Linked DNA regions of Bombyx mori. The protein of the gene in region 1 purifies or fractionates together with the protein of each later gene. This does not show direct contact. Links are inferred from orthologs where the notes say so. Each region holds a gene or a part of one and is shown in the gene's direction. Other genes may lie near its edges.

Region 1 (11,653 bases):
TATATAATAAGAAAATTAAAATCGTTAGTTTGTAAAGGATTACAACTGCTGACTAATAAATAATATGGTATTTTTTGATATTATAATTTTAGGGGTTAGAAAATGAAGTGGCTGTTTTAACGTAGTATCTGCCTTGAATGAAAACACATCATGCACGGAAAAAAATTTGTATCTATACAAAAAAAAAAAAAATGCATATATCAAAAATTCTAAACCGAAATTAAGTTAGCTTACAACCAAACAGAATAACTTACTAAATATTCAGACCATAACCAGCTACAGTAATGATTACTACATTTAATTTACATGAAAAAAAAAACAATTCCTTAACTGACTGAAATTTTGTGAACCATTATTTTTAGATATCATTATGTAAAAACTGTCATAAGTATTCGTAAGAATTTTCAACATATTTTTTTTCTATTAAATTTGCAAGATGTACTCAATCTCAAACATCACAACGTAAATATCACCCACCGCCCTTGTCATTAGACTGGTACTAACGGAAAGGTTTCAGATAGATACTAGAATGATCAGATCAGGGTAGTTTAAAGCAGATTTTCAAGATTAGAATTACATAGTTACAAATCAAGCCAATAATAATAAGAGAATTATTAAAAATAACAGTTTTTAACCTGAAAATGTGTTACTTTTACAAATATCTTATAATGAAACCCTTAAAATATGAAATACTGATAAACTAAAATTAAACAAGTAGTTTTATTACTATTCCTAATGGATTATCTCTTCTTATGATATGGGTGTCGTCTTCGAAACGAGCTGACCGTTTTATTTGGAGGTTGCAGGGCTTTATTCTGGTATTGTGTTATTATTGGAGTCTCATTAGCGGCTAATTTATTGATCACAAAGTCATCACCGGGGTTCATATTCTCCATCATCTTGAGTTTAGCCTCTATGGATTGGATGGCTGTCTTTTTGCTGAGTTTAAACTCTGGTTTTGCACCAGCCAACGCCGGTATACCTAGCTCTGGTTTTGGTTTATCTTGATCATCCTGTGAATATTTTTTTAAGTTAATTATTTTCTAAATCCTCATGTCAGAAGCTGTAAGTGCTGATAGTAAATTGTGTGAATGTTTATTCTTTGAGGGCGAGATACAGGTTTAAAGGAACCATTATTAAAGCGAAAACGGCAATTTGTTGCTAATTTGTATCACACTGTGTCTGCAGTCTATTAGTAGCAACACCATCCTACCCATTTTTTCAGCAAAGTAGTTCAGAATTCGGATTTGACTACTAGTTTAACAGATTTTTTATAATTTATTTAAGATTTTGTCTTGAACCATTTATCATACTTGTTTGCCAACCATTTTATTACTTTGTTATTAGTTTATTTATTTATTAGGCACACGATACACATTACAAGCTAAAAAGAAAATATACACAATAAATAACAAGTAAAGAAAAGGGCTTGTTGGTTTTCCCCTGGTGGTAGGACCTCTTGTGAGTCCGCGCGGGTAGGACCACCGCCCTGCTTGTTTCTGCCGTGAAGCAGTAATGCGTTTCGGTTTGAAGGTTGGGGCAGCCGTTCTAACTATACTTGAGACCTTAGAACTTATATCTCAAGGTGGGTGGCGCATTTTACGTTGTAGATGTCTATGGGCTCCAGTAACCACTTAACACCAGGTGGGCTGTGAGCGCGTCCACCCATCTAAGCAATAAAAAAATAAAAATTGTAACAAAAGGCATGCGCGCACAACTAATCAGGACAAATGTGCTAAGTAAACAATGTTCATTACAAACTATAGGACAAGACAGCATGATAACGAAAACCAATCAATTTTTGTAAAGTAACTATTGATTTCATCTTTCATCTCATTAAAAGAGTCATCAAAATAATCTAAATATTGAGAGATTTGAAAATCAAATTTATGAAATTTTGACTAGGTAGTATTTTTAAATACCCGTTTCTAAGTATGTTAAATTTCGCCTCTGGCACATTGCAAATTCATTTATAAAACCACCCAGTATATCATGGTTGCAAATACAAAATTTGCTATCTGCAATTTTTCATGATTGAATCGAGTAGTTCACCAACAAGGTTAGGTCATAAAATAACTACAAAGTATATGCACTACACATAGAACTTAAACAACTTTACAGCATTAATATAATATGTAAAATTGTTACAGTTAATTGATACTTACAGCAGTGTGTTTAGCAAATTTGACACATATCCTTTTGCAGCCTAGTAACTGTCCATTCAATGAGTTCATTGCCTTAACAGCATCTTGTTTCAATTTGTATGTAACAAACGCAAACCCTCTCGGCTGTCCGGCTGCAGGTCCGCTACGATGGAACAGCATGTCGAACTTCTCAATATTCCCATAGACGCGGACCAGTTTCAGTAATTGATACCGGTAATGAACAAAAATTGATGTTTTATTATATTGCCTTTTATTGGTACGATAAAGAAATGGAAAAGAATGAGTATATCAGAGGAAGTGTGAAAGTAGCCCCGGTAAGCAAGAAGTTAAGGAGCGGACGGTTAGCGTGGTATGGATATGTGATGCGTAGAGAGAACGATGTAGTCGTCGTGGCCTAAAGGATAAAACGTCCGGTGCATTCGTGTTGAAACGTTGCACCGGTGTTCGAATCCCGCAGGCGGGTACCAATTTTTCTAATGAAATACGTACTCAACAAAATGTTCACGATTGACTTCCACGGTGAAGGAATAACATCGTGTAATAAAAATGAAACCCGCAAAATTATCATTTGCGTAATTACTGGTGGTAGGACCTCTTCTGAGTCCGCGCGGGTGGGTACCACCACCCTGCCTATTTCTGCCGTGAAGCAGTAATGCGTTTCGGTTTGAAGGGTGGGACAGCCGTTGTAACTATACTTGAGACCTTAGAACTTGTATCTCAAGGTGGGTGGCGCATTTACGTTGTGGATGTCTATGGGCTCCAGTAACCACTTAACACCAGGTGGGCTGTGAGCTCATCCACCCATATAAGCAATAAAAAAAAAAAAAGTGAAGATGCATGTGACTAGAAGATGTATGGAAATGGTAGTGCAAGGTAGAGGGAGGGAGAAGATGTCGACCGAAGAAGACATGGATATGTGTGATTGACGATATGAAAGAGAGAGGAGTGAGTGTTGAGATGACGGCTGATAGAAGAGAATGGAAGAGAAAAATTAGCTGTGCCGTCCTCACCTAGTGGGATAAGGTGGAGGAAAATGAGAAGATAAAACAATGTAACTCTTTTATAATTTTATGTTATGAAATTATATAGAGACATTTATTCTCTTTTTTATAGCTATCTTTGAAAATTACTTTAATATTTTAAACATACTCATTGACTCTCAGGTCTAGATTCCCGATCCATAATCTTCTGTCACAGACTTCATTCTGGTGGACTGGGTCCAAATGTAATGGAACCTGAAAATAAAATACATAGGGTATTGTACAGCATATTTAAATTTGGTTAAACATTATTGTAATGTTTTAAAGAGGGTTTTAAGTCACCATGATAAATAATCTTTTTTTATGAATTCGTTAATACAGTAGCATCAGAGTTGTATTTACTTTTTATTTTATTTTAATGGGTAAACACACTCACTTCACACTTTGTCTCTGCTACTGTGTTGGGAGCATTAACATTGCCTTCTGAGACATTCATTCTCATTCAGGTCTCTGTGCCTTATTTAGCAAGACAGTGGTTTAGCTGGCTTTGCTGACATCTATGAGTAACTTTGACCATTCAACATCAGGTCTCCAGTATGTTTACAGATAAAACAACAAAGTTGGCAAAGCAGCTAGTGACCATGTATTCAATGAAATGACTATAAAGGATTTTAATACAATTTTTTCTCAGTTCATAAATGTTCAAGAATGATTTCCACAATGAATGATTAACAAGTTTTCTGATACTGAACTGATAGCTCATAAGTAAAGAGATAAATGAGCTCACAGCCAACCTGGTATTAAGTGGTGACCAGAGCTCATAGATACAACATGACACCCTTCAAACTGAAAAGCATTACTTCTTGACAAAAAAAATCTTTAAACTGCTACACTACTAATTCAAGTATATTTTTTAAATATATAGCCAATTTCACATATTGGCCATTGAAAAAATTGTCTGCTATGATTCTTTGTTGTCAAAGTGAAACATTCAGTATTTAACCAGATACAGCTTATGGATTCGACTGTCCCTTTCAAAATGCGAAACATGAAAATGTTAGACATTCTACCCATCAAACTGGATTTCCCGACTAAATTGAAAGAGTCACCATAGTACAACCAACCAGTGTATGCTCCCAGCATCCTGTACCTCAAAAAAGGATAAAGTAAGAAAACGTGTGCTATTTATGTTCATTTGGTCATTGTTTTCATTTCAATGATAAAATCATCTATATAGTTTGTGGTACAATTAATTTGAGTCAAATTATTATCATTTAAATGATCTTTATGATACTTTTAGTTTGTAATACTTGGGTACTTGTTAGATGAAAATCAGGTGATAAATGAAAATTTATGCAAAGTATGATTATTTATTTAGAATACCGTTCCTTCCATGTCTCTTGAGTGTTGAATCTGTTCCTTTAAATTACTTTACTCTTAGATCTCTTGGTGTTCTAGAATTCTTGGATCACATAACTTATACACTAATTATTCCTACATAATATTTTAACTAAGCATTGGACTTGCGCATTGTTTATAATTTGTATAATTTCACTCGTGTACATAATATTTTTCTAGATAATTATGATCTAAAATATGTGTTTACTCTATGATCTAAATTCTATGACATATTTAACCACAGATCAGTAAAACGTTTTTTTATTAAAGGGATTTTATGACCTGGTAACTAAGACCTTTAGATCATATCTTATTTTAATTTATATTCATATTTTTATGAAAAATGGTATTATGGAGTGAAATGAAATGAAATGAAGATGATTAATTTGAGACATTAATCAACTGGGATAAAATTAAATGAGATGATATGAGATGAGATATAATCTATGATATATAATATTGGTGGTCATTTACCTTCATTTACTGAGATTTTTTCAGTGGACTTTTTGGAGGATCCCGAGAAGTTACGTCCAGCGGCTTTGTTTCATTTTCCCACATCTGTGCACTTTCACAGATATTAAACAGTTAATAAATCACCGTTATCTTATACCTTCAAACGAGCAATTCTTGTATATATATATATATATATGTATAATCTGAAACTCGGAAACGGCTCCAACGATTTTCATAAAATTTAGTATACAGGGGATTTCGGGGGCGATAAATCGATCTAGCTACGATTTATTTTCAGAAAATTTTGTTTTATTCGTGTTTACAATAATCAACTTTCCCGACATCTATTGGCGAATAATAATACTATTTAAAGACACAACAAGATGGCGTCATCAAAAAAAAAACGAGCAAAGCTCGGTCATCATCTAGTTACACATTTAAACGTGAAGAAATACCAAATAGACAAAATTATACAACTTCACCCCTCGCGTTCCTGCCAAAAAGTCCTCAGTAAAACGTCTTAAATAGCAAGCATAGATAAGACATCAATAAGAAGCAACAACAACTTAGCAAGGCACAGACTACTCACTTTTTATTGTAAGGTAAGCCTGCCGTTTAAATGCCCCCCGAAGCATACACACGAGTGTACGCCCGCGACTCTTTCGCTACTCGCCGTCATTCCTTTTCGAACTTGTTTGTGGGACCCTTTGGAGTATTCATTACCTGATGCTCCAACTGCTGGGCAACACAAAAAAATGTAGTATCTATGCCACTTCACTTATTTTTCATTATGGAAATTGGATTTTTGCGACACTCTTTGAAACCCAAGGTTTTGGATGTGGCAGCCCTAAACCTCACACAAAATGTTTGGCAGAATTGATTTTACTTAATTGATTTAAAGTAAAGATATTTTAAATGCGGAAGGTCATTTTGGAGATCAAACTCAATAGATGCAAATTTCAAAGCAGCAAAGAAGTATTCCGTGTATAAGCTCTATTTCCTTTCATTATCATAGAGGACGATGTCAAGGCACAACCTAATGAGCTTCTCGCCGGATCTTATCAGTGGGTCGCGATCCCGAGATCCGGTAGTAGATTCTGTGAAGCACTGTTTTTGCTAGGGTCATTGATAGCAAACTCTCTTAGTTTAATACCCGTAAGCTCACCTACCCGCCATAGCGTAATTGGAATAGCTCCATAGCGAATAGGTAGGGCCCGCAGAGTCTATCGAGAAACTTGTTGTTCAGGGTAGAGTAAATGGTAAGAGATCTCGTGGACAAATCTCCATGCGCTGGACTGATCAGGTGAAAGACTTTACTAAAACCCCACTTAACGAGTGCGCACGCACTCGTTAAGTGGGGTTTGCAAATTATGGAAAACATCTGTCAAGGCTTTAATAAACAACAATTTCACATGACCACGACTGCTTTGCCAAGAGCAACCGACTATAATGATGATGAGGGGGAAAAGGATTTAATTTAAGTTCATGGCTTTTCGAATTCTTACACAAATCTCACGAAATATACTTTCTCTCCATTTTACCAACGTTATATCTATTTAATTTTGTTGCATTCTACTATACTTCATTTCACTTCACTTCTTGTTTAAATCACAATATGAGTTCGAATTCACAATTTAAGGTTGAATAGGCTATGTTTCCTTTGTCCTAGTTGACAAAATAACAAAAAAGGGCAAAAGTGACAAACAAACAGCTAGTGTTTTCTATTTCCACAAAAAGTTAACCAAATCCAGTATTTTTAGTATTTTTACCTATATAAATCTTTTAGATTCCATGTGAATGTAGTAGTAGTTGTTGCAAATGTAAGTACAAAAAAAGAATTAGTCAATGTTACAGTAATAACAGGAATTAAGATCGTTAAAAAATGTGAATGCGTTAAAACTAATTGAAAATATATAAATAATGAACAAGATAAATAAAAGGATACCTGGTATCTTGCCGCCGCCGCCAAAAACAGAAATCGATGGAAAAATCACCGATCTATCGTTAAAAACTATTCCTGAGTTGCTTGAACTACGAGATAGACAAATTAAGTTATTAAACAATAAAAGTTTTATATCTAAACTAAGTGACAAAGGTGCTAAAATACAGATTTTGTACGATAAAATCTTATCCGAATTAAAAGCGAAGCAAGAGGAAGAAGATGCGTGTCGGATGTTCGAAAATATGAAACTGAATGGAATTGACAAACAATCCGTACAAGAATTAGAATGGACAGGTACAATTAAACAATCCACAGATTTAGATTCAGATGACGACAGTGACCCTGAAGATGTCCTAAAAATCTTGACTCAGAACTCATTCCATGAGAAAAAAATTAAGATTTTAGAACCTGAAAAACTTTCGATAACCCCTGAAGATCTAATCAAGATAGATGAGATCCCCCACGTAAGATATATAGTTAACAAAACGGAACACAACACCAAAGCCAAAGTAACGAGACAGTTTAAGCCACATAAGACCACAAACACAGATGTCCACAACCCAGAAAAGGAAATACAAAGAGGAAAGAACAAATGTAAAAAATGGGAGGTGACTGCTGCCACACCTCCTCCTACAATACATGGGCCAGCAAAAATATTATCCATAGAAGACTCATTAAAACTCCAGCAAGAACATAACTTACGTCTTAAAGAGGTGAATGCATTACATGCAGCTGAGAGGCTGGCTTCAATGGCTGGAGTCAAAATGAGTCAGTTGCCATTGGATTTATCAAGGTTTGGTTCATACCGAGACACCAATAGTGATGATTATGAGTCTGATGGTGAGGGCAGTGACAAAGAAGTTCATGATGAGGAGCCTGAGAAAGGAGGTGTCATATTTACCATAATGAAATAATATACATACTAAGTTCTAGAACCAAGTTCTCTCATGAGAGCTTAGTTAGACTTACGACTTTCATGGCTCATGCCAGTCCTCATTTTTAAGGGATCAAAATAGCAGGAAAACGACTGGATTGTAATTTAACTGTGTACTTACTGATTTAATGTATAATAATAACAATAATAATAAATTTCTGTCTATTTATGTATACTTCATTATTATCCCTTACAATTCATTACTCTGAATCCGATATAAGCTTAAAGCGTAAAGTATGTAATTATTTGATTAAATAAAATTTCGCAACCTCAAAAAACCGTTCTGCTTACAGTAAACACAGTCGGTAGTCTGGCGCTCCGTTTACAACGGGATTTTTGAACGGAACTTGGCGCCAGATTCTACCTAACCTGTGGATAAAGCTTATCAGATTGATGTAAATGCAAGTCGCTCCCTAACATATACACTTATGGTATTTTAGATATACACTTCACCAGAGCTTGATAGACCCAATATGAGGGGAAAATGTGTATAAAGACAACAATCACGATATATATAAAATACACTTTAAGAGTTGTATTGTTAAATTTCAAAAAGGAGCCCTTAAATTACATTTAATTGAACATGTAAAAGGGTAGATGATAAGTACAGTAAGTTACTTATTTATTAATTTAATTAACTACATGCTCATTTCTGTCTATAAATTATGGTAATAAATTAATTCCTTCATTCGTTCCCTTCACACACGATTTAGGGCACAGCTGAGAGTGAAGATATCTCCCAGTGTTGACTTCTATTATGTAGGTAATATGCATTTTAATTAATACTTAGTCGTGCGACTAGCGGTTGCTCGGTTATTTTTATAAAATTCAACTACGCTTTATATAAAACGTAGAGTTCATGTTCGTTCATAGCGAGATACAGTATACTATACTGTATACCTAACTTTATATTGATACATACTTTACATACATATTTCGTGTGGGTCGCCATTACAAAATATAATCATAACTATGCATAACTCTATATAATATAATTATTAAACAAGTACGCTACCATTCGATCAATTGCCACCCACTTACTTGCCAGTACGACACTTGCCTGCCGCAGTGTATTATCTACGACTTGCTGTACGAGTGTACAAGGGTTCTACAAGTTGCGCGTAATTGACAGCCACAGATTAGCACTAAACACAAATATACAACGGCGGCTGAGCTCGCGGCAAACGCACGTTGCGCGTGTTATGTTAATTGGAAACATCACAAAATAAAAATAAACAGTTAGTGAATATGGCTCCTATGTCGAACGCGGTCGTAGGAATTGATGACGATCAACGGTTTGCTCTAATGAAGGTACGACTACACTTAATTCTAAATTAATTATTTCATTCTTATTTTATGTTTGTCGATTTTGAATTACTTAGGCAAAAATTTCTTACGAAGCACCAACTAGTGAACGTTCCGAAAAAAAAAGAGGTATTGTCATGATTTTTTTTTTTTTTTTTTTTTTTTTTTTCTCCCATTTCTTGGCCTGCACGGTTTGTGCGTCAGCCACGCAAAAAGGTTAGGAAGTGTGTTAATGGATTTATTTTTTGGATTTGAATTTGGAACGGAATTTGGAAAAAGGATCAGGTATATATATTATATAAACTAAGTACATAAATGGTTACAATTTTATATTATTATGAAAAATGAAACTAGCTAATATTCTATATACATCAATATTGATATTAGATAAAAGGATAGAAATTGAAGTAGGAAAAGGAATTTTAATGGACAAAAGTGAGGAAATAAAAGCGGAACGGTCATTTCGAGGACAGGCAAAGAATATATGATTAAAATCCCCAACGTCATTGCCACACTCACATATATCGCTAGGCAAAAGGTTAAGCCTTGCCAAATGCAAGGGAATGCATGCATGGCCCAGCCTCATGCGAATAAGGGTCGATGTGATAGCTTTACCAAACGTCAGATTTGAAAACCACGGTTTAGGAGGTATATCCACTTGGATCGTGCTGTAATATCGACCTTTAGTCTGTCTTGAAGAACGCCAAATGTGAGTCCAAGAATTCAATAACTGGAATTTAGGAAGCAGAGCTAAATCACAACAAAAGTTTTTGTACGGAACCAAATCTCCATCATTGACCGCAGCTTTGGCAAGGCTATCGGCCTTGGCATTGCCAAAGATACCCGAGTGCCCCGGAATCCAAGCAAAGGAAACTGTGTAATTTTTGATGCAACATTGATACAATAAATCACGACATGCAATAATCACAGGATGATTATTTCGGTTACTGTTAAAAGGAAAACGTTCCAAGGCTTGGAGGGCACTTTTAGCGTCAGTTAAAATTATTGACTTTTTAAGCTTCATCATTAAAATGTACTCCAGAGACTTCAGAAGACCAAAACATTCTCCAGTAAATACTGAAGTCTCTGGAGGCAATTTTATTTTCTGAACAATGCCAAACTGTTGATGGAAAATGCCGACCCCCACACACTCCTCGGGACCGGGTTTGGAGGAATCGCTAAAAATTAAATGACAATTTTTCCATCGGCTGTCACTGTCAATAATATCAACAAATTTGGCATTGATAGAAAGATCTTGTTTACTTAGGCCGAAATCAAACATAATAGATGGATTTAAAGTTAGGGCATCATAGTTAACACAAAATATTGGAAGGAATTGTGATCTATGTGTAGGAGCTTGAAGAGCTAAGTACTTTTGGAGACTAACAATAAGGCATGGCGGCGATTTATGAGCCCAGTACGGATAATCCATACATTCCAGCAGAGACCGTAACTTAGTGTAAAGAGGATGATTATAAACTTGGAATGCTCTAAATAGAAACCGGTCACAAAGAAATTGTCGTCTGAGGTGCAGGGGGGCTTCAGAACATTCGACCTGCAAAGCGTTAATAGGGCTCGAACGCATAGCCCCAGCAATTATTCTCAGAGCCTTAGACTGGATAATGTCTAACTTATGGAGAGCTACTGCATTACAGGGTTCAAGTATAAATGTTCCATAGTCCAAAATACTCCTTATTAGGGCATTATACAAAAGCTTTAGAGAGAAAGGGTGGGCTCCCCACCAAACTCCAGAGAGGCAACGCAATATATTTAGAATCTTCTCACATTTATCACTTATATAGTAGCAATGAGGGCTTCCTGTAAGTCTTGAGTCTAAAATTACCCCAAGAAATGTTGCTTCACTTTTAACAGGAACTCTAATGTTATTATAAAATACAGACACTGATGGAGGAAGCCTCATACGTGAAAATAAGACTATAATACTTTTAGGAACTGAAAGGCTTAGAGAGTTATTGTCAAGCCAAACTTTTAGCAACTTAAGAGAATATGTGACAGTATCAGACATGTTGTCAATAGAATCACCAGAGACATAGAGGAGTAAATCATCTGCATATTGGAGTGTGTTAACTTTACCCCTAAGGGAGGCTTCCAGATCATGAGAATATATATTGTAAAGTAAGGGACTTAAAACGGAGCCCTGGGGTAAACCTTTCCAGACAATACGGGATTGATAAGAGTCTTCTGATATTACTTTAAGCATTCTACCAGAGAGAAGATTGATTATGAAACTTATGAAAATTTGTGGGATATTCAAATTAATCATTTTTTGTTTCAGAACCGAAAGGTTGACATTATCATAGGCTGCAGACACATCTAAGAATGCTGCTAACACAGACTTATTGTATGAAAATGCCAATCTTATGTCTGTCATAAAAATGCTGAGACTATCCATCGTACTCCTACCTTTCCTAAATCCAAACTGGTTAGGAGATAGTAACCCTTTACTCTCAATAAA
Region 2 (11,230 bases), on another chromosome or scaffold:
CACGAGTACGTTGCAAATGACCCAAGTCACTGAATCGCAGTTATTCATACTTCTTAGAAGCCTTAAATACGCCCAACGAACATCGGCTCGGTAGATATAGTCAGACATTCCTGAGACGATATAAAAAAAATGCCTCATAATTTATACTTTAAGCAAATAACAATTCAAATGTATTTCAGATAAAGATGAATAGTCAGTCTCCCAAAATTTTGTGAGACTGTTCTCGTCATCATTAAGCTCATCGTTCGCACCACAGATAATACGTTCGCACGGTGTTGCCAGTTATTGAAATACATTAACGAAATAAATGGCGCGCTACATTGTTAGACTTGTAGTAAAATTCCATAGACACAGCCCACTGAGTTTCTCGACGGATCTTCTCAGTGGGTCGCGTTTCCGATCCGGTGGTAGATTCTACGCAGCACTGCTCTTGCTAGGTTCAGTGTTAGCATCATTTCGGTTTGAGCCCCGTGAGCTCACCTACTAGTTAAGGTTACGCTGAAATAGCCTCTCAAGGTTATCAGCTTAGGTAGGAAAAAAAAAAGAGTGAAATTCTTATTAGTGTGGTTGAATATATAATCGGTATCCTTTCTCTTAAAGACGAAAAGTCGAAAGCATCCTTAATACCAGATATAAATCAGGTAGACTGGTAGGCAATAACAAAATGAACATAAATATTCATATACCATTTATAATTGAAAATTTATAAAGTTTTGGTTCGGTTTTCGCGTATTGTAGGCATAATTAACGGTACGCAGCGGCTTGACCCTGACCCGGCATTGCTGACGACCACCAGCGACGGTAACCACTCACTATCAGGTGGGCCGTATGCTCGTCTACCTACAAGAGCAATATAATAAATTGAAACTATTTTTCAGGTTTAATCTTGCTCTTATTATTTCCGACGTTTATTACAGTTCTGATGCGACATTTGAATATTTTGTTACTACCGTCTGTTTTTGAATAAAAGATTTTCTTGCCTTAAATTACATTATTGTGTAAAAATAATATAATATAATATTAAAATGCGGCAAATATCACACGATCTTAATCATGTATGATCAGAACTATGGCTCGATAAACAACTAATGTGATCTTTTATTACAATAATAATTACTTATTTTATTTCAACAATAAACATAATAATATACTTGTGTAGTTCAAGCGAAAAATTCACTATTTATTACAGATCAACTATAAAGATAGAGTTGATGATATGATTGTTATCGTAGATTGAGTTACGCTCAATTTGATTTCAAAAATTGTGGACGTAATCATTTCAAAAGAAAAAATCCTTAACATGAGCCTCATCCTTGGGCAAAGCTTCAAATGATATGGATGTTTTTTATAGTTATTGCTTTGATCATAGTTTGCAAAGTCGTAAATAATACTGAATTTCCTAGTTGTAGACTTATAAGAAATCAAAGTAGAATCGATTTGCAAACGACAAAACCGAATGTTTTAAATGCAGTTTTAAATTTTCCGCGCATTAGTTTACCGTTTTTGAAGCTTTCGTGATTTAAGCTTGTGACGAACTCGTAATGTCATTTTAATGAACAATATTTTAAATTATAAGCCTTATTTATCAATAAAATTTAAATTCTATGCTATTCGGGACATGTAAGCAATAAAAAAAAAAAAAATCTGTTAACCTCTGTCGGTGAACACGGCAAAGATAAACTAAAAATAGCGCTCGGATATTAATTTTCTCTACATGTGTCAAACAAAAGTAATAAATCTCTTTTCTGTGTACACTTTCCCATATGCCATATTTTAGTTTACTCTGATTTTAAGCTAGACTAGTTAGGATTTTGTACACAGGAGAAACTTATAACGCAGATTAAACCTGTAACACAGGATAAATTCTTAAATTTACTGACGTCGAATGTGTATCGTTTGTTTAATAACTCAATTAACTTTTACTACGTATTTTGAACAGCCGTGGCATGAACTAGTTCGATTAGTAAAAGTGTATGGGCGCGAACGGCCATGACCGCTATTAATATTATAAAGGATGTAAGCTGTGGGGCAATGACATTCCAATATAATTAAGGTTCGAAATACCGCCTCAAGGGCATTGAGACGTAATGTCCGACATAAACAAAACTGTAACCAACCTTAAATCATGTATTTAAGGTTTTTTTTACCCTACCTAAGCTGGTAAGCCTTGAGAGGCTATGCCAGCGTAATCGAACGAGTAGGTGAGCTCTCGCGGCGCAAACCTGACGACGTTGCTAACACTAGCCCTAGCAAGAGCAGTGCTTCGCTGAATCTACCACCGGATCGGAAATGCGACTCACTGAGAAAATCAGACTATAAACTCAGTGGGCTGTGTCTATAGGTTAATTTACTCACTGAACCCTGAGTCGCAAGCTTCGACGTGAACGGTGACCGGTGCTTGAGGTAATTGCATAGATTTGAACCATTTCGTCTGATGTTCAGTAGTCAAACAGTTGAAAGTCTCCTACCAACTGGAGGAATGAGGTCGCTCTGTGTTACTAACGCACTGAACTAAACGAGTCCGCCCAACCTAGTTTCGTTTCAAACTTTCACAAAACTAATAGAATTACAATTTTTCCGTGCATTATACCAAGTTCCGGACAACGCCCGATCTAGAATAAATTAAACCGACTGACCTCGATGTAATGTATCGAATAAAGTTAATAAAAAACAAAAGGTTTAGCTTTAAAATACATATATTATGTATAATACTTTTACTTTTTAACTATGATTGACTCGATAGTACAGTAGTTAGCGACCTCTAACTGTTGCGCCGATGATCGTGGGTTCAATTCCCGCATCGGGCAAACAAAATTTTGATAAACATGTTTGTTTGCTCTTTGTCTGGATGATTATTATCTATATGTATATGTATTTATTTAAACGTAAATATGTATGTCAGCCTCTGATACCCATAACACAGGGAATACTAATTTGGGACCGGACGACCGTGCGTAATTTGTTCCCAGTTATTTATTTGATTACTAGAGGTCCCGCAGTAGTCGAAATTCGACTATAATCAATTGGAATTGTAAGTTTGTACACTATTATGATTGTATTTTAAACTTCTATAATCGCAAATTTCGCCAAGACTACACTATAAAAAATATTAACAAAGACAAACAATGTTTAATCTATTCTCAATTTGACCACAGACGTCAAGAACAAAAGTTTGACAATAAATAGTATGACGCATGCGTGTGTGCGTCAAATACATGGTATGTAGTGTGTGTGATGTTTTTTTTATTGATTTAATGTATCTTTTATGCATTATTTAAAAAAAATATTAGCATTGTGTACTTCTTCTCTATATTCTCTATAAGTGTGGAAAATTTCATACTCCTCCGTCCGCGGAATTTTCGTAAAAAGGGATACAAAGTTTTTGCTTCACGTATTAATATATAGATAACTCATTATGATAACCAAATATAGACCTTTTTTAATTTCACACGTTTTTTTTCATTAAACTATTTTTTGACAACCAATGCGATGTGGTTACTGTAGCCCATAGATACCGCAATTGTGATAGTGTGTTTTTAATGCTCTCGATAGCGTAAAAGTGAACTTAAATTTGTATGGAGTTGGAACGTTTGCCTAAGTTTGCCGGTAGGGGCGCTGTTCCAACTCCATACTTTGAGTTAACTTTTACGCTATCGAGAACGTTAAAAAACTCGCACTAAGCACACAGAACACAATCTCTCAATTCGATAACGAGATCACAATAGTATTCTATACGAAAACCAAACGTACCTGAAGCTAATAAAACGCAATTTTGCATGGTCATTTTTTCCCCCCTACCTATTCGCTGGCAGCCTAAGGGGCTATTCCAACTACAATCGGACGGATGGGTGAGCTCATGGACTCAACCTAAGAGAATTTGCTAACACTAGACCTAGCAAGGGGAGTGCTTCGCAGAATCTATCCCCGGATCGAAATCGCGACCCACTTAGAATACCCGGCGCGAAACTCACTGGACTGCATATTCGTCAGAAATCTAACGCCGTTTTGATCGGGAGTATCTATTGTTAAATAGAATTACCTGTCGCAAAGAAGGTTTCGTCTTTCATCCGATCTATATGGGTACAGTTTGTTGTGTGCCTCGCGCTGCACTTTGGCTAGGTAAACCTGAAATATTTGAAACACTATAAAACTTTTGACTTATTGAAATTAACACGAATTAAATCCTAAATTCTCGGACGACTTCCCTGTCGTCAATTCATTTAACTTTCCTTACTTAATAAATTAAGCGAAAGTGGCCATATTCATATAATTTTATTTTGAAATTAGTTCAATATGAACGGCTAGTTCAATAATCTTTGATATTAAATTTCACACTCTGGCGTTTCATTACAATGTATTCGCTTACTAAGAGGGACTTACTGGTGGTAGGACCTCTTGTGAGTCCGCGCGGGTAGGTACCACCACCCTGCCTATTTCTGCCGTGAAGCAGCAATGCGTTTCGGCTTGAAGGGTAGGGCAGCCGTTGTAACTATACTTGAGACCTTAGAACTTATATCTCAAGATGGGTGGCGCATTTACGTTTTAGATGTCTATGGGCTCCAGTAACCACTTAACACAAGGTGGGCTGTGAGCTCGTCCACCCATCTAAACAATAAAAAAAAAAGACAAGATCTAAAAGCTTTGTCCGTACCTTGGAACCTTCGAACAGGAGTGCCACAAAGAACAGCGCGATCCAGGTTAGGGCGAACGCCCACCGCGTGCTGATGATTAGGCCGGAGAACAGGAAGTCTCCGAGGTCGTAACCGAACCACATCCACATGTGCATCTTAGCGGTTTTTCTCTAGAGTAATCAGTGAGAGGTGTTCACTTTTTTTAAAGTTGTTTCCGCCGTAGCTTTACAGCGTAGCCTACACTTTATATCGCCGAAGCGGAGACCCTTGCTGGGTATCAGAATGAAAGATAGCCAGGGTTCAAATTAAGTACTAATATTAAGAAAAAAAAAGACTCACAAACCCTAAGAAATAAAGTGGGTGTTTTTTTTTACCTAAGCAGATTGCCTTGAGAAGCTATTTCACGGGGCTCAAACCGGAATGATGCTAACACATGCCTAGCAAGAGCAATGCTTCGCAGAATCGGAAACGCGACCCACTGAAAAGATCCGGCGAGAAACTCAGTGGGCTGTGTCTATGGATCAATTCGCTCGTCGAGCCCTTCGTCGCAAGCGACGGGTTCGACGAGGACGGTGACCGGCGCTTGTGGTATCTAAAAGCACCGTTAATTGATCGGGAGGATCCGTAATGAGTGGGTGTACTATGATGATGATGATGATGGATGGGAAAATGGTATTTGAAAGCCAACTTCATATTTTTTACTATAGTCGAACAGTAATTTATTCTAACTTCATTCTACTCAACTGGTGAAGCAGTGAACAGCAACCCTGACTGCTGGTCATGGCTCGATTCACACTTTGAGCAAACATTCATGTGATGAACAATTTTGTTGTCTGGGTCACTGGGTGTTGATACACATTTTTAATTTATATATTATATTGATATAATTATACATCAGTTTTCGATATCCATAGTACATAATTGGAAATCATATTTTGAGACTGATGAATTTGTGAGATTTTAAAGAAATAATGATAAAATTCATTTAAAACAGAAGAAGTATCTCAGAAAATTTTGAAGCTTTATTGTTTGTTTGATTTGTATTAGAACACACTACTCAGTTCTTTAATAGAGCTCTATAAGTTTTGCGTGTTTCTTGTTCTAAATTCTTATAATTTAATAAAATTTCTAAATAAATAAGATACCTTAAATCTAAGATGCAATTAGACATAAAGCACCCAGTTCTTCAAATGTTTACTTAAGTAAATATGTACATCAGAGTTGTATATTTCAATGTCAATGTAAATTTACCCTTTAAATAAGCAAATCAGACTCTAGCGGCTATTGCGTGTGTGTGCACAGATAGCAAATCCAAAATAATTCAAATCAGATTTTTTTTTAAAAAGGTTATCTATTTTACTTAAATCAATATGAGGATTTTTTATTATTATTTTTAAGTACCATAGGAGAAATATGGGTAATATTTTCACTTAATAGCAAATTTTGTTTAAAAATACTGAATCACACTAAAATCACTTACAGTAGTTCTCAAGCAGCTGAATGATAGTATTAAGCCTTGTATTATACTATTTTTAGTTTATAGAATCTAATTTAAAACAATACTGGGAACAATGGACAGTTATCTTTCATAAAATGTTGACCAAATTTTGTATACTAATCACAGGCCATTGTGATTGATATGATTCATGTGATTGTCTTGTCAATTCTTCAGTTTGAATTTATTTTTAATACAGCCATAGGTAAACATGGATGCATTCAGTTTACCAATAGTCTTTAACATCAGCAATATTTGCAGAACTTAGAATAAACCATTTATTGCATGTCAGCAGAGTTTCCTAGCACTCTCCTAGCTGTTTCAGCCACTATCAACATAATGTGAGGAGAGGATAGAGTGGCTATTCTTCCAATGCTATGAAGTCATTCAGAATCAGGATTTTTAAATTAACCAAGATTATAAAATGGAATGCCATGATTTTTTGGTTAATAAAGACTAAGAAAACCACCAATTACAAAACAAAACAAAAATTGGGGCCACTCTTACATAAACTCATACTGGGTGATTTGAGTATTGTATATTTATGGATTGATTTTTAAATTCCAGTATGTTTATACTTAAATTTTAAATAGTTTATTTTTATATTGAATGTGAAAATTATGTTTATAGTAGCGCTCAATGTTTTAAAATTTAAACTAATATATGTGTAATATGAACTGGGATGTACCATTTGGGTCCTTTGTGTTATATTCTATTTTAGGCTTCAACTTCTCAATATATACTAGTTTTTAAAGTAGGGCTTTATGTTTTGCTTTATATATTTTATAATCGTATTTCTATGAATAAATTAGAGCCTGTTAAGCTAAATCTTCATAAGTAAATATTATCAAATAGGAGAAATTCTAGTGGATCTGGTGAAGTGAATATTTGTTGGTTTAATTACATAATTAAGAAATAATTATTCACATTAGTCATTACTTTGTAAGTAGGAAAAATCCTTAATGTTCTTAATTCACAATTTTATTAAGTGAAGCACTAGTATAGTTTAGCGGTGGGCAGCGGCTTGAATCTGCCCCTGGCATTTCTGAAGTCCATGGGCGACGGTAACCACTCACCATCAGGTGGGCCGTATGCTCGTCTGCCTACAAGGGCAATAAAAATAAAACTAGTATAGAACATTGTAACTAAAATAAGACTGGCATATGAATACCAAGTTTTTGTAAGTTTAAAAAAAAAAAAATTATGCATTTTTGTTTAAGCGCTTTAAAATACAGGTATCAATAAGGACTCTAGTTCATTACATTCAAAATAATTTTAAATATGATTCAGTGTTCGTAGCACTTACCTACTACTTATCAATTAAACTGTATTGTCCACTTCAAATTGCTGCGTTCCATTTCTATTTACCAAATGCAATTTTCATATCGTTCGACACCAACAACGTTATCTAACTCATTGATAATTTTAAAAATAAAAGTAAATAACTTTATCATAACAGGCGCGCTCTTATCTTTTGAAACTTAATTTTTTTCACCCACTTTTGGGTCAGCTACAAATATTGCATCTGACTATAAATTATGATTTTAAATTGTATACCAAATTAAAGCCTAACTGACGAGTCTGAGAGCAATTTCTAATTAATACAAAATACAAATCATACAAATGAATTGTCAAATAGACAAGTCTGTTAATAAATACTAGACTAAAATACTATGGATCATTATGGATGTGTGTACCTAGTACGCAAGTATTGTCTAGTACTATACTACTGATCCGTTAATGTATATCCTGGATCTTAATAGTTTTATTAAATAATATCATGTCCAACGCTTAAACGACGCCAGTCCAATCCGTAATAACTTTGTAGGCTTATAGTTTCGGACAGATATTGTCCAGCCGAGCGGAACAGATAAATCAAACAAACAAAACCAAAGCTTTTCGAATTATTCTGAATAGTTGAAGAACCGTTTCGAAATAAACAATTCGGCTTAATATTTCCACGTGAGTTCATTCATACTTTAGTCTATATATGAAAACTATTCAGCAGTAGGCGAGCTGTATCCCATCTACTGATATAGATTTTAAAATTGCTTCAGCATAAGGCAATCAAAAATAAAACGGTTACAACTTGATGATTTCATAATTAAATCATTATGGTTACCGGAATTGTGGATTAAAAGACTTAAGATTTACTGACGTGTCCGACGGACTGAGGAACTAGTAAATAAAGCTTAACCTTGAGAGACGACTAACCAGACCGCCATTAATAATGCACAGGGTAAATAATAGTACCAGAATATGTTGAGGAAATCAGTTCAGTCTATTCCATTTACATAATCTATGCATGTCTAGGACCCAATCCAATTTAAAAAAAATCTAATACTAACCATAGATTTAGACACGTAACCTACTCCCAACCTGAGTTCTGAGTTTCTGAGTGAAATGAAATTGACATCTGACTTTTGCTAACATGAAAGAAAAAGCATTGTGTGAATTAACGTTGTAGGTACTTATTAACTCCATGGAATTAACATAATATATTAAGTGTATTATCTACGGTTCATGGAACAGACAAGGCTTATGGGCTTAGATCCTTTTGCCTTTCCTAATAAGGAAAAATTGTACCAAAAAAAATAACTATGGTTCTGATCTGAAATAAAAATAACAATTTTATGAATAAAATGGAAACAAACGTGAAGCCTCCTAAAAAAAAACCTACAACAATAGAAGACCTCACGAAAGAACAAATTCAACAAGCGATAATTAAGAAACGAGAGTGTAACTCAAAAGCGCAACATATAGTTGAAAGTTTTCTAGAAAATAGCATAAACGAAGTTTATTTCCTCAAATGCTTACCAGACCTAAACCAGTCTCATTTCGAAGATGTTATTGAAGAACGATCAATCATAAGTCTATGTGGTTACCCGCTCTGCTCGAACACATTATCCAAGAAAGACATACCGAAGCAAAAATACCGAATCTCCATGAAAACGAACAAAGTATATGATATTACAGTTAGAAAAAGCTTTTGCAGTAATAGTTGTTATAAATCTGCCATGCACATTAAAAAGCAGATGCTAACAAGCCCGCTTTGGTTTAGAGAATATGAGATAATCCCACAATTTAATTTATTACCAATGAATTCGGCAGATGGTTGCATGGGACAGGAGATTGATGTGTCAATAATTGACAGAGTGAAAGTAGAACTTGAAAACAAGCCTTTCGTAGTTACCAATGGTTTTGTAAAAGCTACTCTTAGAGATATGGCATCAAATAATGGTAAAGATGATGTATATAATAAAGCTACTGAGGAGCAAAATGAACAAAACTTTAAATTAAGTACAGAAAGTACTGAACTGGATGAAAAAGAAATGAAGCATAAAGACAGCGTAAATAAAGCATCAGAAGGGAAATCCTATATCTTAAATTCAGAATCAAATTCTGTTCAAACACAAAAGTATCTACAGGAAAAATCTTGTCCTGTATCAGTGAAGTCTGAAAATACTGATAAAATGAAAAAAGCAGTATACAATCCAATGAACATTGTCGGAGATATCATAGAAAAACCTGAGAAGAAAATTGATTTGACTTTACTAAGTGCAAAGGATGAACAAAATAACGCAAGCTCATCTCTATCTCAAGAAAAAAAGAAAGAGAAAAAGCCATTAGTGACTGTATTAATTGTAGAAGTGGAAAAATGTCTAGCAGAATGGTTTACTTTAGACACATTAATTTTTCTCTATGGCGAAGAGAAAGTGAGAGAAATGGTATCAGATAAAGAAGACAGTGTGAAAGAATATCTGAAAAATTTTACAAAAGGTACATTCTACAATTCCACAGCCTATGATCAATACCAAGCTTTATGCAGAAAACTTAATATGCTCGAATTAGAAGACAAACGTTATGATGCCAAAACAATGCAAAGGGAAATGAAACCGCTGCCAGATTACACTATACTACAGGAAGAAAGCAAGAAAATACAATTGAAAGTAAAGGCGTTTTTTGCTGGTCAAACTGAAATACCTGAACCAGAGCCTGAAGAAAAGAACACACAATCAGATGAGAACTTCACAGCTTTGCCATTAGTAGACAAGAATTCTCAAAATGCATTACGTAGACGAATAGTCTGTCAACATTTAAATAAGACCCTACCGGACATCTTGAGGTGCCTAGGTTTATTAAGTTTGGCCATAAGCACAGAGGTGCGTCTTTTGGTAAACACATTCAAATTGAAAGCAAATAATATAATGTTTAAGCCGATTCAGTGGACTATGATTACCATAATATTTATAAAACTTCTATCATTAAGAGATGTACACTTGGCACACTTATTGGAGCAACCAATGGCATACCAACATATTCAGTTGTTACTCTTGAGTTACAAACAAGATAATGGCTATTTAGATAGACTAATATTTTGGCTGACCGATGTTGATAGATTATTGAATACAAACAGTCACTGTGCTATAGAATGATTGTATGCATAATCTTACTGTAACATTAATGTAACTTGTGATATTTTAGATTGTAAATACTTGTTTTGTTCAAAACACTTTTTTTTAATTCAAAATATTGTTGTTTTAGTTTCATGGAATATAAACTTGCCAGAGTAATATTTATCAATAAACTCGCAAAATTTTTATTGCATTGATAATGCAGAAGCTCACAACTCAGCCAGTATAAAAAAAGGGTTCGTGTACTTATGTACGCTCGTAAGAAGTTATACTTTATTTTTATTAAATTTATTCCCTTTTTTTTTAGATATTAAATAATTAATAATAAATATTTAACGTTAATAATTTAATAATATTTAGTATGAATTATATTAAATAATAATTTTGTCATTTATATTACAAAAAATAATGCTGATAACACTTCTTTTTACGAGTGTACATGCGCGAAAGTTCACCTGCGGCTATATTCAGACCCGCCAAATTACGTCGGTAGATTTAGTGGGCAACTTCATTCTGTTAATTTTGTGTCACGGTGCGCGCGCATCGTAAAATTTCACTCTCATCAATTTTTCATAACGCGCCTAAAGAAGTATATATAACTTCAACAGTTACTGGACCCCATAAACATTACAAATTTAGATGCCATTGTGCTACTTGAGTCATGAGATTCTAGCAATAAAAACCTGGAT
Region 3 (11,594 bases), on another chromosome or scaffold:
ACATTAATAAACAATGGTAGTGTTACGCGATCTATTGAGGATCACGGGGATCCGCTGGATGCAGGCACCGCAGGACCGGTCTTTGTGGCGAGGCTTGGGGGAGGCCTATGTCCAGCAGTGGACGTCCATGGGCTGATCAGAAGAAGAAGAAGTGTTACGCTGGTAAGGGTAACGCCACCTTTCGCCGAATAGTCGAACGAATATCGAAGGCTAGTAGCATCTAGAACGCTCGGGAAGTACAACGCCATCTTTTGTCAGATAGCGGAATCACACAATACTCTACTTTTGTGGAATATTCTCGACGATTCTAGGGATTCAGGTAATCGGAACTACTCGAAGCGAAATAGCGAACGGATCACCTGAAGCGAAGCGGAAGAAGCGAATTGAGAATTTTAAAGTGCTTGTGAAGTGTCTTAGTGTTCAATACAGTTTTTAGTTGTACTTGGTAAAACATTTATATATCCCGAGCCCCAGCGCGTAACAGTATGTAATAAAATATTGTCAACATCTGCTATTAAGCAATATTGATTTGTTGGATTATTTTTTATTAATATTCACTGGACTTGGCCTAATAGTTTTGCCAATCCATGTGTCTATGTACATACAAGCTGTATATCTACTACAGCTGAATTTTGTGTATTTATCGGCCAATAAGGAAAAACTTACAGAAACCTGAAACCGCGATTTCATCTTGAATTTCTAAGGCAGTGATTCTCAACCTTTTTTTTTGTTGCCGCACATATTTAACGATTTCAAAATTTGGCGGCACACAAAAAAAAAGATAAAAAGAATTATTTACTTATTACAACACACTGCATAAATAGTTTATCAAAAAATTTTAATATACGAAATAAACTAAAATATACTATAATTTTTTTTTTGTGGTTTTAAATATATATTCTTGTTTAAAATGTTTTTCTTTTAAAATGATATAATTTAATAATATTAACATTATTATATATTCGCAAAATTTGGCGGCACACTTTTGAGATTTGGCGGCACACAAAGGTGCCACGGAACAGTGGTTGAGAATCACTGTTCTAAGGAATCTTGCATAGGTTAATAGGTGTTCCGAAACACATTTTTGGACGGACCGTTAATCATGTAATGGGTAGCGGGCGTAATTAGTGCCACCATATTATACCTATTTCTACCGCGAAACAGTGCTTGTATTTGAAAACTGTTATGTAATACAATTGAGTCTTAGATCGCACGGATCAAGGGTTTCCTTTTTTTATTGCTGAGATGGAGCGACTTGCACACTGCCCACCTGGTGTTAAGTCATCGGAGTCATTGGAGCCCATAGACATCAACAACGTAAATGCCGCCACCCACCTTCATATATGAGTTCAAAGTCAGCGCTCTATACAACGGCTGTCCTACCCTTCAACGCATTACTGCTTCATGGCAGGGCTCACAAGACACCCTACCACCAGTAAAGGGCTTCGGTGATCACTTAGCGCAGAATTAAAAACATAAGCTGTGGTATGTATCTACACTACAAGTTCCGACCGACTGTATCTATATACTATCTTGAAAGCGTAATATGTTATGTACATCGGTGGAGTTATTATAACACAGTCACGCTTTAGTGAAAGATCATAAGTTTGAATTATGAAAAAAATAACAACCACCTTTTTGCTAGCTATTTTATCAACCGAGCCATTAAGTTTATTATTAAGTCTCGTGTAGATAGTTACCTCTGTTAGCTATCAAGATTCATTTGTAAGGTCTGCATTAAATTTTAGTTAAGTCGGTGGTTCGTTTAGGTTTGTTTGGGTCCGATTGCCGTGGCAACGACTAGCCTCGCTTTCATATCACATCTTAAATTGACCTTATGTAAATTAGAGGCAATAATTGTGAATGTCGAGGTCAGAACCTTTTTACCATGAACCTAATTTTGTAACAATACGTAGGTGTTTTTGGTTAAATTGAGGAGTTCTACGGTTAATCGCCCACTCTCTTCCCGGTAGACCATATAAAGCGCTTTCATAGATTAAGTTGTAAGATATTTCTACTGTTATACTTATTATTATTATTTTAATATTAGTACATTTAACTCAGACTGGTGGTAGGGCCTCTTGTGAGTCCGCATGGGTGGGTACCACCACCCTGTCTATTTCTGCGGTGAAGTAGTAATGCGTTTCGGTCTGAAGGTTGGGGCAGCCGTTGTAATTATACTGAGACTTTAGAACTCATATCTCAAGCTGGGTGGCGGCATTTACATTGCGGATGTCTATGATATCTGGTAACCACTTAAGAGGCCGTGAGCTCGTCCATCCATCTAAGCAAGTCTTGTGGAGAAAATCGCTGGATCCCCAACCGCGCGGCAGGTGGGTATGTGGAAGTTAAACCTCGGTAAAAACTCTTGCCGCTCACAGCCGGTGCCCTACCCCAGACCGGGCCGGAGCCCAGTCGGGGCTATTGCGACGGCGGGACAGGATTAATACAGAGCATATTACATCCATCCCGCGGTCTCACAAGTGTAAAGTGGTTACCAGAGCTCATAAAAATCATGAGGTTAACAGTCTCATTTGTGTTGTATAATGGCTGTCCTACCCTTTAAACCGAAATTCTTGATAACATCCCAACAAAAATAGGCCAAATGGTGATACCTCCCTATAAACCCCATACCCACAAGTAAATGGCGATTGACGATCGTCAGAGAACCCTGCTGCCCATTCTCCAGTAACTCTCTTAATCGCTTTTTGCGTCACTTACGGGTAAATATGAGAGATGGTATTCTATAGCCAAGATAGGGTAGTAATTTATCACTGTTCCGAGTTTGGGAATGGATTTTTTACTCATATTTTTTTATATCTATTACTAAATATAATTAGAAAGATAAACACAAGTTTTTACATATTTTTTAATTATTACAAATTAATACAATATAATTTATAGAAAAGATACAGTCAATTTTACTCTACTACACTCATGTATATCAGTAAATGTTATTTTGTATTTGAAACTTCTATAGGATTATACTAAATAATTGTACAATTTACAGTACAAGATAAAAATAGTAAGTTTACACTTAGTCATAAGGCCTTTAAAGCTTTATAATTAAATTGTCTGTGACTTTTAAAACATCCAAAAATGACTTGACATAGACAATACTGACGAATGAGCATTAAATTATTTTTTTAAATGAAGAAATTCCAGCAACACCAATTTCTGCAAATAAATAAGCATTTTCTTCCATGTTCAAATATGGGTCAAATTCCCAAGAACTAACATAAACTTCAATGAGGCTTTCATCTCTACAGTGTGCTATGTTTTCTGAAAACAGAAATTATATACATTAATTATGTTTATAATTATAATTATCAGCGTCGCGCAGCGAGCTATGGAGATGGCTATGCTTGGTATTTCTCTACGGGGCCGAATCAGAAACGAGGAGATCCGTAGAAGAACCAAAGTTACTGACATAGGCCGTAGGATTAGCACACTGAAGTGGCAGTGGGCAGGCCACATAGCGCGAAGATCGGACGGCCGATGGGGCGGAAAGATCCTCGAGTGGAGACCACGTACTGGCAAGCTCAGTGTGGGACGGCCACCTACGAGATGGACCGACGACCTGGTAAGAACCGCTGGGTCACGTTGGATGCAGGTGGCAACGGACCGGCTGCACTGGAGATCACTTGGAGAGGCCTATGTTCAGCAGTGGACAATGGACAGGCTGAGATGATGATGATGATGAATTATGTTTACCTTAAATTACCAATAAGATAAAAATGTAAATTATTGAGTTATCACAGAGTTGTCAGGAAGCAGTATGTGAAATCTATTCTGTAGCAAATAAAGCCGGATATTTTCTGAAAATTATGTTTTGTATCCCAAAAATTTTCTATTAATTATTATTATTTATTTTGTTTATTAATTATTTTGGAGGCCTGCATAGAATTGAATGGTTTTAAAAAAGGGAATACTTGTCTTAGAATTCTAATGTAATCACGGGCATGTTGTTTTTATTCATTGCTTAGATGGGTGGACGAGCTCACAGCCCACCTGTTGTTAAGTGGTTACTGGAGCCCATAGACATCTACAGCGTAAATGCGCCACCCACCTCGAGATATAAGTTCTAATGCCTCAAGTATAATTAAAACAGGTTCCCCACCCTTCAAACTGAAATGCATTACTACTTCACGTCTAAAATAGGCAGGGTGGTGGTACCTACCCGTGCGGATTCACAAGAGGTCTTACCACCAGTATGTTTCAATAAATAATAATAATTTTCACCTGTCACAATTTTTTTTAGTTTGTACTCCTTTAAGAGTGATTCATATGTATTTTTAACACAAGCATGAATTCGGCCTACTGACCATGTCAAAATTACTGGCTGGTCAGTCGACTGCAATTTTGATAGTGAATCCAGTTGATTTTTTAGTATTTTTATACCTGAAATGAAACATTTAAATATGACATAGTTCAGTTTTGCATTAGAATTAGATTGATTAGAAAGTTAATGTATATTCCATTCCATTAAATTGTTTAAACTGTAACATTATTAAAAGTAGTCTCACATACTCCAATATTGTAGTTGATTGTTAGACTAACATACATCATTTTACTTACCCTCGATAATATTTTGAAAGCTATCTATAATTTCAACTAAGCCCTCAGTCAATGGCTTCAATAGGTGCGGATAATAATCATCATTATACTCGTGCAGTTTCACTGATGAGATCCCTTTACAAAACTTAGAACCTTTATCTTTTAGTTTGACCCAATCAATTAACAAACTATGAAACGAAGACACATGTGAAAATACAGTCTTTGATAAGCCTGGTTGGTCTTTATTTGGAGTTGTAATCTCTGAAATAATATCATTTATTAAATTACTTACTATTTCAATCGACATGGACAACAGAAATTTTGTTTGTTAAACTTTTTCTTCTTAATCGATGATGGGCAGACAAACTCACAGCCCACTTGATAATAAGTGATATTGATACCCAGCAACGTAACCATAATAGTTTATAAATCAAACTCTATGTAAATAATTACCTCTAGGTACAAAGTTGATAGCCAATTCTTTTATTGGAGTTTTGGACATTACGAACTTATTACTTAAATTTGAAATAAATATCTTTAGCCGAGTCTCTAAGTAGATAATAAAATTGAAGTGTTTTTGTTCTTCTTAATTTTTCAATATTGCAATTGGCTTACAGCCAGCGGTTACAAGACCTTCTAGTCCAGCTATAATATAATTTCTACGTAAAGAGCACGTAGAAATTCTAATCTGATAAATCAGAATTCATATGAAGCTAAATGAGATGAACTTAACTAATGTTAGTCTTTAAATTTGAGTGACATTATATGAAACTAGGATGTTTTATGATGCGTAAGCCGGATCGCACAAGAGGTGGGAAAAAGAAGATAGTCTGTGACACGGGACCTTTTTACCGCCGGGAGTCCGGGACTTTTTGGCGGGAACGCGAGGAGTGAAGTTGTGTGATTTGTTTTATTTTGTCGATTTAGTATTTCTTCAGGTTTAAATGTGTAATAACGGTGATTTATTAACTGTTTAATATCTGTGAAAGTTCACAAATGTGGGAAAATGCAACAAAGCCGCTGAACATAACTTCCCCGGAATCCTCCAAAAAGTCCACTGAAAAAAGGACATGGACCATACATTGCACGCCCCACTAAACGAACATCATCATCAGCTTATCTATTATTTATATTTATCGATTAAATATGTTAATATATTTTGCTAGTTTTTTGTAATACATTGTTTTCTTTAAGAAGATTTAATATGAATTATTTAAAATATAAATATATTTTACCCATGGCAGCTCCTTCAATATTATCAATGTAGCTTAATCATGCTTAAGTATTTCTTTTTATTTATGCTTTTGATTATCCCACCATTAAAATACCCTTAAATTTTATAATAAGTATGTAAAAATGAAATGTTTTTTTCTATAGATATTTTATTAATGTCCTTGAGGGCACGAGTAGCTGGGCCGAAAATGGCCCATGTCCTTTCATTAAATGACCACCATTTTACTGAGATTATATTTCATCCCATATCATCTCATCTCACTATATTTAATTTCATCTTACTTGATTATTGTCTCAAATTAATCATCTTCATTGCATTTCACTTCTTTCCATTATATAATTTTTCATAAAATTAAGAATATGAATTAAAATAAGACATGACCTAAAGGTCTTAGTTGAGCTGGACATAAAATACCCAAAAAAATTTTTTTTACCGCTGAATATTTAAAGGACGAAAAAAAAAAATGGTATAACTTAGAACTGTATAAGCCGCTGCAACAATAAAACTCCTATTGTTTCAAGTGTGGTGTTAATTACATAAAACACGATTTTCCCGCGAAATAAAGAAGGGACTTTATACGGACTCCCTCAATGGGATGAAATAAAATCGTCTCAGTAAAACAAGGATTATTAACTGAGAGTTCAGTGGACGTGACTAATGGATGCTCTGGATGAAATTTAATGAAACTAAATGGAATGAAACGTGTTAAGATGAAATAAATTAAAGATGTTCCAGTAAAATAGTGGGAATTTATTGACACTTAAGTATACTATCGAAGTAGTAGGTAGGTAGACTATCGAAGAACGTAAGATGTGCCGGGGCCACGGTAGTCAAAGTTGATCAGGTGATAATTGTGTAAGTGTGAAGGCTGGAATAGTTTCGACACAGGTAATTATTTTCATTTGAGAAGTAAGAATGGAAAATTTATCTAGTGGGTATTATTTTTCAATCATGCAACGTGGTGTTAAAATTTACATAAGCCAACTACTGTTCGCGATTTTGGAGCAATCTTTTTTCCGTGATAGTTCCCATTACAGAATCCTTTGCTAAATCGACTAATCTCCCTTTGCCTGTCCAAACTAGGGATGGTCTGTAACAGGTGAAATTAGAGACCTGTTCCACCTGTTCCTGTTCCAGCGAAAGAACAGTTCCAGTAGCCTGTTCCAATATAACAGCGTTTTGTTTTGCAACAGGTTTAATAATGTTTTAAATAGAATATGTCCACTTATAGGAACAGTTATAACATATGAAATGGTTTTAATACATTTTTTTAAATGAAAACAATCCTTCATGCTTTCTCAGGCTTAGGACTGACAACTGAATTTATTAATATTAATGATATGTGAAGCTAGTTTTGCCAAAATGTACTTAATACTTTAAATACTAACTAATATTGGCGAGGACTGCTCTCCCTCCGCGCCTCCGGTTTTTTATATACACTCTAGGGGTAGGGCAGACAAGACCAGGTGGAAAGTGATGTGCTCTGATTCGGTTTTCGATATTTTACGAATATTTTTGCAGTTTTATATCCAAAACACGAGCAATTTTACTGTTTTATATTTAAATCTTGTTTAAAAAGTTAATTTATTACAGAGACAGATTTTTTAGATGAGTGGACGAGCTCACAGCCCACCTGGTGTTAAGTGGTTACTGGAGCCCATAGACATCTACAACGTAAATGCGCCACCCATCTTGAGATATAAGTTCTAAGGTCTCAATTATAGTTACAACGGCTGCCCCACCCTTCAAACCGAAACGCATTACTGCTTCACGGCAGAAATAGGCAGGGTGGTGGTACCTACCCGTGCGGACTCACAAGAGGTCCTACCACCAGTAATTACGCAAATTATAATTTTGCGGGTTTCATTTTTATTACACGATGTTATTCCTTCACCGTGGAAATCAATCGTGAACATTTGTTGAGTACGTATTTCATTAGAAAAATTGGTACCCGCCTGCGGGATTCGAACACCGATGCATCGCTCAACACGAATGCACCGGACGTCTTATCCGTTAGGCCACGACGACTACGGGATTTTCCCGGGGATGAAATCCCGTCTTAACATTAGTACGGGTACCGCCTAAGGCGAGACTTTCGGCGCGCATCGCGGTACCGTAAGTTTCGTGTAGTCGGTGTGGTGGAGCTCGATGGGGTTTAGTCGGTAGTCGTTCTGCGGGGTAAGTGCTTCGCGCGCCTTTTTCAAGGCGTAGTCTCCTATGAGAAATTGGGGCAGGTGAAGGACCTCGGCCCTTCTCTTCTCCCCTTCTTCCTCTCAGGAGGCCAGGCCAGGAGGCGCCGGAGTCCGACATAACCCGGTCCGTTACCCCCCTCGACCGGGTAGCGTATTTCCATTTCCGTGTTCATTAGGAGGCAGTACTGCCTTGAAACACGCACGGGTTTGTCGCGCTAGCTTCCTTTACAAAATCGTGTTCAATTCAAGGCACGTGTCCTCAAATCGCGCACGGGTTTGCAACGCCAACTGCCCTTCTAAACACGTGTTCAATTCAGGGTACGCGTCCTCCAATCGCGCACGGGTTTGCAAGTATGCGCCTTGATTAAGCTCCACAAATCCGTGTTTGTTCGAAGGCACTTTTGTGTTTAATGAATAGGCAAGAAAACTCAAACAAAGTCTTTAACCTTTTATTAGGATCAAAATATATCTACACTCGGGTGCAATGAAATCGCACATCTGTACATTTTTTGAAAAATATTATTTACTTCTTTTTATTTAAAAAAATACATATATTTTTTAACATAAGGTTAAAGGATAGTTCAATACCTATTCAATGATACCACATAAGACATGATAAGTTTACCTGCCTGCTGAAACAAAACGACAACAGCAAACTCCAAAAATTGCTCCCTCAACTCACTGCAGTTTGCAAGACCAACTGCAGGTATAAAAAGGCATGTTTTGTATAAAACGTCATCCCTCCCGACTAGGCGCGTCAACACCTCCGCCCCCGCCGTTCGCCCAATCACGATGTTCGACCAGCCCATACCGTGGGCCCCGAAGGTCAAATATTTAGGCGTCACCCTCGACAGTAGGATGACATTCCGCCCCCACATCAAGACGGTACGCGACCGTGCCGCCTTCATTCTAGGACGTCTCTACCCGATGATATGTAGGCGAAGTAAAATGTCCCTTAGAAATAAGGTGACACTCTACAAAACTTGCATACGCCCCGTCATGACCTATGCAAGTGTAGTGTTCGCTCACGCGGCCCGCACTCACTTAAAGTCATTCCAAATCATTCAATCCCGTTTTTGCAGGATAGCCGTCGGAGCCCCGTGGTTCGTCAGGAACGTCGACCTCCATGACGACCTGGACTTAGAGTCCATCAGTAAGTATATACAGTCGGCGTCAATGCGCCACTTCGATAAAGCGGCACGACACGAGAACCCTCTCATCGTGGCCGCCGGTAACTACATTCCCGATCCTGCGGACAGAATGGAAAGCAGTCGACGTCGCCCAAAACACGTCATCTCGGATGCTCCCGATCCACTAACGGTGCTTCTAGGTACTTCAAGCACCGGTCACCGTTCTCGTCGAACCCGTCGCTTTCGACGAAGGGCTCGACGAGTAAATTAACTCTCAGACACAGCCCACTGAGTTTCTCGCCGGATCTTCTCAGTGGGTCGCGTTTCCGATCCGGTGGTAGATTCTGCGAAACACGGCTCTTGCTAGGGTTCGTGTTAGCAACATCGTCAGGTTGAGCCCCGTGAGCTCACCTACTAAAGTTAGGGTTACGCTGACATAGCCTCTCAAGGCTATCAGCTTAGGTAGGAAAAAAAAAAAAAAAAAAAAAGTCATTAGATGCAAGCCAACGTTAACCTGATAAGACTTCTAGTGACTCCAACGCCACAAATCCGTGTTTGTTCGAAGGCACTTTTGTGTTGTTTAATGAATGGGCAGGAAAACTCAAACAAAGTCTTTAACCTTTTATTAGGATCAAAATATATCTACATATATTCAAAGATGTATGAATATGGTATTGTATTGCAGGCAATCAACGTAGGTACTTATACAAATATAATTAAGTAATTTTATAAAATTAATGTTTTTTGGCAGGAGGCTCATTATCATCAATATTAGATGCAATATTATGAACACGTTTTCTTTTCACCGTTTCTGACTTGGCTGGTCGTCCTGATTGAATCCTTCCACTGCATGGTAAACCTTTCTTTGCGGCGAGCGAGCGATGTTGGTTGTACATTAATTTTTCGAGATTTTCGTGCGACATTTTTTTCAACTCTAAATGATATAATACTCGATGGAGTTTGTAGCTTCGACAAATCAGATTCAAACTTTGTAAGAATGTTTGTGTATGCAGCATTTGAATCCTTTTCCAAGATATCAGTAATTCTTTGCCACTGAGCTTTAATATTTTGAATAGCAGTGTCAAAGTTTTCATTGTTTATAATTACACTGTTTTCCGCTCGATTTATTGGAAGTTCAAAAGTGTTTGGTACAACATCATCTGGTGTAATAGAGTCAGTTTGGCTGTCTTCACTATTTGTGCCCGTAATATTTTTAAAGAACGACGGTAAAAACTGGTCACCCAGGGCGAATTTTGCAAATTGTTGACGATCACAGTCATTCAAATGTAGCGATGTGGTAAGTACAGTCCCATGTTTTCTTTCTACAGCGCAGATATGTTTACAAAATCGGCCCCCAGCACCATACGGACAGTCACATGTTGCCAATTCACAGTCCACAACATACAGATCAGTCTTCTTTTTCACGAAATAGGTATTGTCATCCATGTGTACAATATCCTTAATACTACTACTTGCTTGGCAAAATTTTTCATACGCTAACATAAGATTTCTTGCCCGCCCATTGGCAAACTGAATCAACCTTTTCTTGTGTTCAAAGGTATTCGCGATAAGGTCAACTAACGCGCACATATTGAACACTTTACAGCGCTGCAGTACTACGTCTTTAAAAATTCTTATTGAGGATTTACAGTAATTGTTTGTGTTATTCCCTCGTGTTAGAATATTAGAGCGATATGCTAAACACCACTCCTCACGCCGATTCCATAAACTTGTTAAATGTTTTTTAAGCTTTTTATTTTTCTTAACTTTCTCCTCATTTGATAAATCAGACATTCTAATTTCGGCTTCTTGCATTGTGTTGGCATATATTACAGTACGGAATTTCTTCATAACTGATTGCCGATCTTCTTTAATAACGTCATGTTCGCTTTGCCACAACCAACGCCAAAAAGCTTGATTTACATGAAATATGCAAAGAAGTACCTAATCTGCTGTTTGGAGATACTGTTCGTAAGGCATTCCTTTCTGCGCTGCTATCATCAGTCATAACGATTTTTGGTTGAAAAACCTTCTGGCAAGTCTCCTCTAAATAATCTTTTGCAGATTGAAAAGAATGTGTATAATTTTCTTGAGATTGACTTGTGTGCAAAATGACAACAGCAGGTAAAGCACCAATTTTCGTTGCAGCAAAGATAAATGTAACACAGGCATTTGTTTGATCACAAGATCCACTTGTATCCATAAACACCATTTCATCAGCCAAACCAGCCATGAACACTCTTTGCATAATAGGCGTTATTACAACACAAACAGTTGGTTCTTCTTTTAAATATATCTCTACATTTATCTTAAACAACTCTTTCGTTTTAAAACTTCAATTATATCACCGATGTCTCGCGTTCCGTAGGTTCGGCGGCGCCATTGTTCATACAGGTGAGTAACTTGGCGGTCGCATGGATTTTTTTGTGCATTAGATAAAGTAATGTAATGTTTGTTTTATTTGTCATCATGACAAGATAA

Evidence for each region.
Region 2: the proteins of uncharacterized protein LOC101743276 (region 1) and putative RNA polymerase II subunit B1 CTD phosphatase RPAP2 purify together in Homo sapiens (affinity purification with mass spectrometry; 3 studies listed by BioGRID and IntAct, counting the BioPlex papers as one, with this or other methods). This does not show direct contact. The link is inferred for Bombyx mori from reciprocal best matches to the Homo sapiens genes POLR2M and RPAP2.
Region 3: the proteins of uncharacterized protein LOC101743276 (region 1) and DNA-directed RNA polymerase II subunit Rpb4 purify together in Homo sapiens (affinity purification with mass spectrometry; 3 studies listed by BioGRID and IntAct, counting the BioPlex papers as one, with this or other methods). This does not show direct contact. The link is inferred for Bombyx mori from reciprocal best matches to the Homo sapiens genes POLR2M and POLR2D.

What each region holds. Positions count from the first base shown.
Region 1 is NC_085116.1:3,260,758-3,272,410, reverse strand, and holds uncharacterized protein LOC101743276, read left to right. Parts: upstream 1-5,590; 5' UTR 5,591-6,916; coding exon 6,917-7,852; 3' UTR 7,853-8,041; downstream 8,042-11,653. Other genes in the region: SEC14-like protein 2, read left to right, coding at 9,121-9,183.
Region 2 is NC_085121.1:1,512,569-1,523,798, forward strand, and holds putative RNA polymerase II subunit B1 CTD phosphatase RPAP2, read left to right. Parts: upstream 1-8,759; coding exon 8,760-10,562; 3' UTR 10,563-10,714; downstream 10,715-11,230. Other genes in the region: uncharacterized protein LOC101736188, read right to left, coding at 4,040-4,125, 4,652-4,801, 8,475-8,477.
Region 3 is NC_085114.1:9,603,348-9,614,941, forward strand, and holds the start of DNA-directed RNA polymerase II subunit Rpb4, read left to right. Parts: upstream 1-5,395; 5' UTR 5,396-5,505; exon of another isoform or gene 5,506-5,514; intron 5,515-6,312; 5' UTR 6,313-6,679; intron 6,680-11,594. Other genes in the region: uncharacterized protein LOC119628842, read right to left, coding at 3,134-3,282, 4,243-4,401, 4,579-4,818, 5,011-5,059. UniProt on the Homo sapiens protein: Core component of RNA polymerase II (Pol II), a DNA-dependent RNA polymerase which synthesizes mRNA precursors and many functional non-coding RNAs using the four ribonucleoside triphosphates as substrates.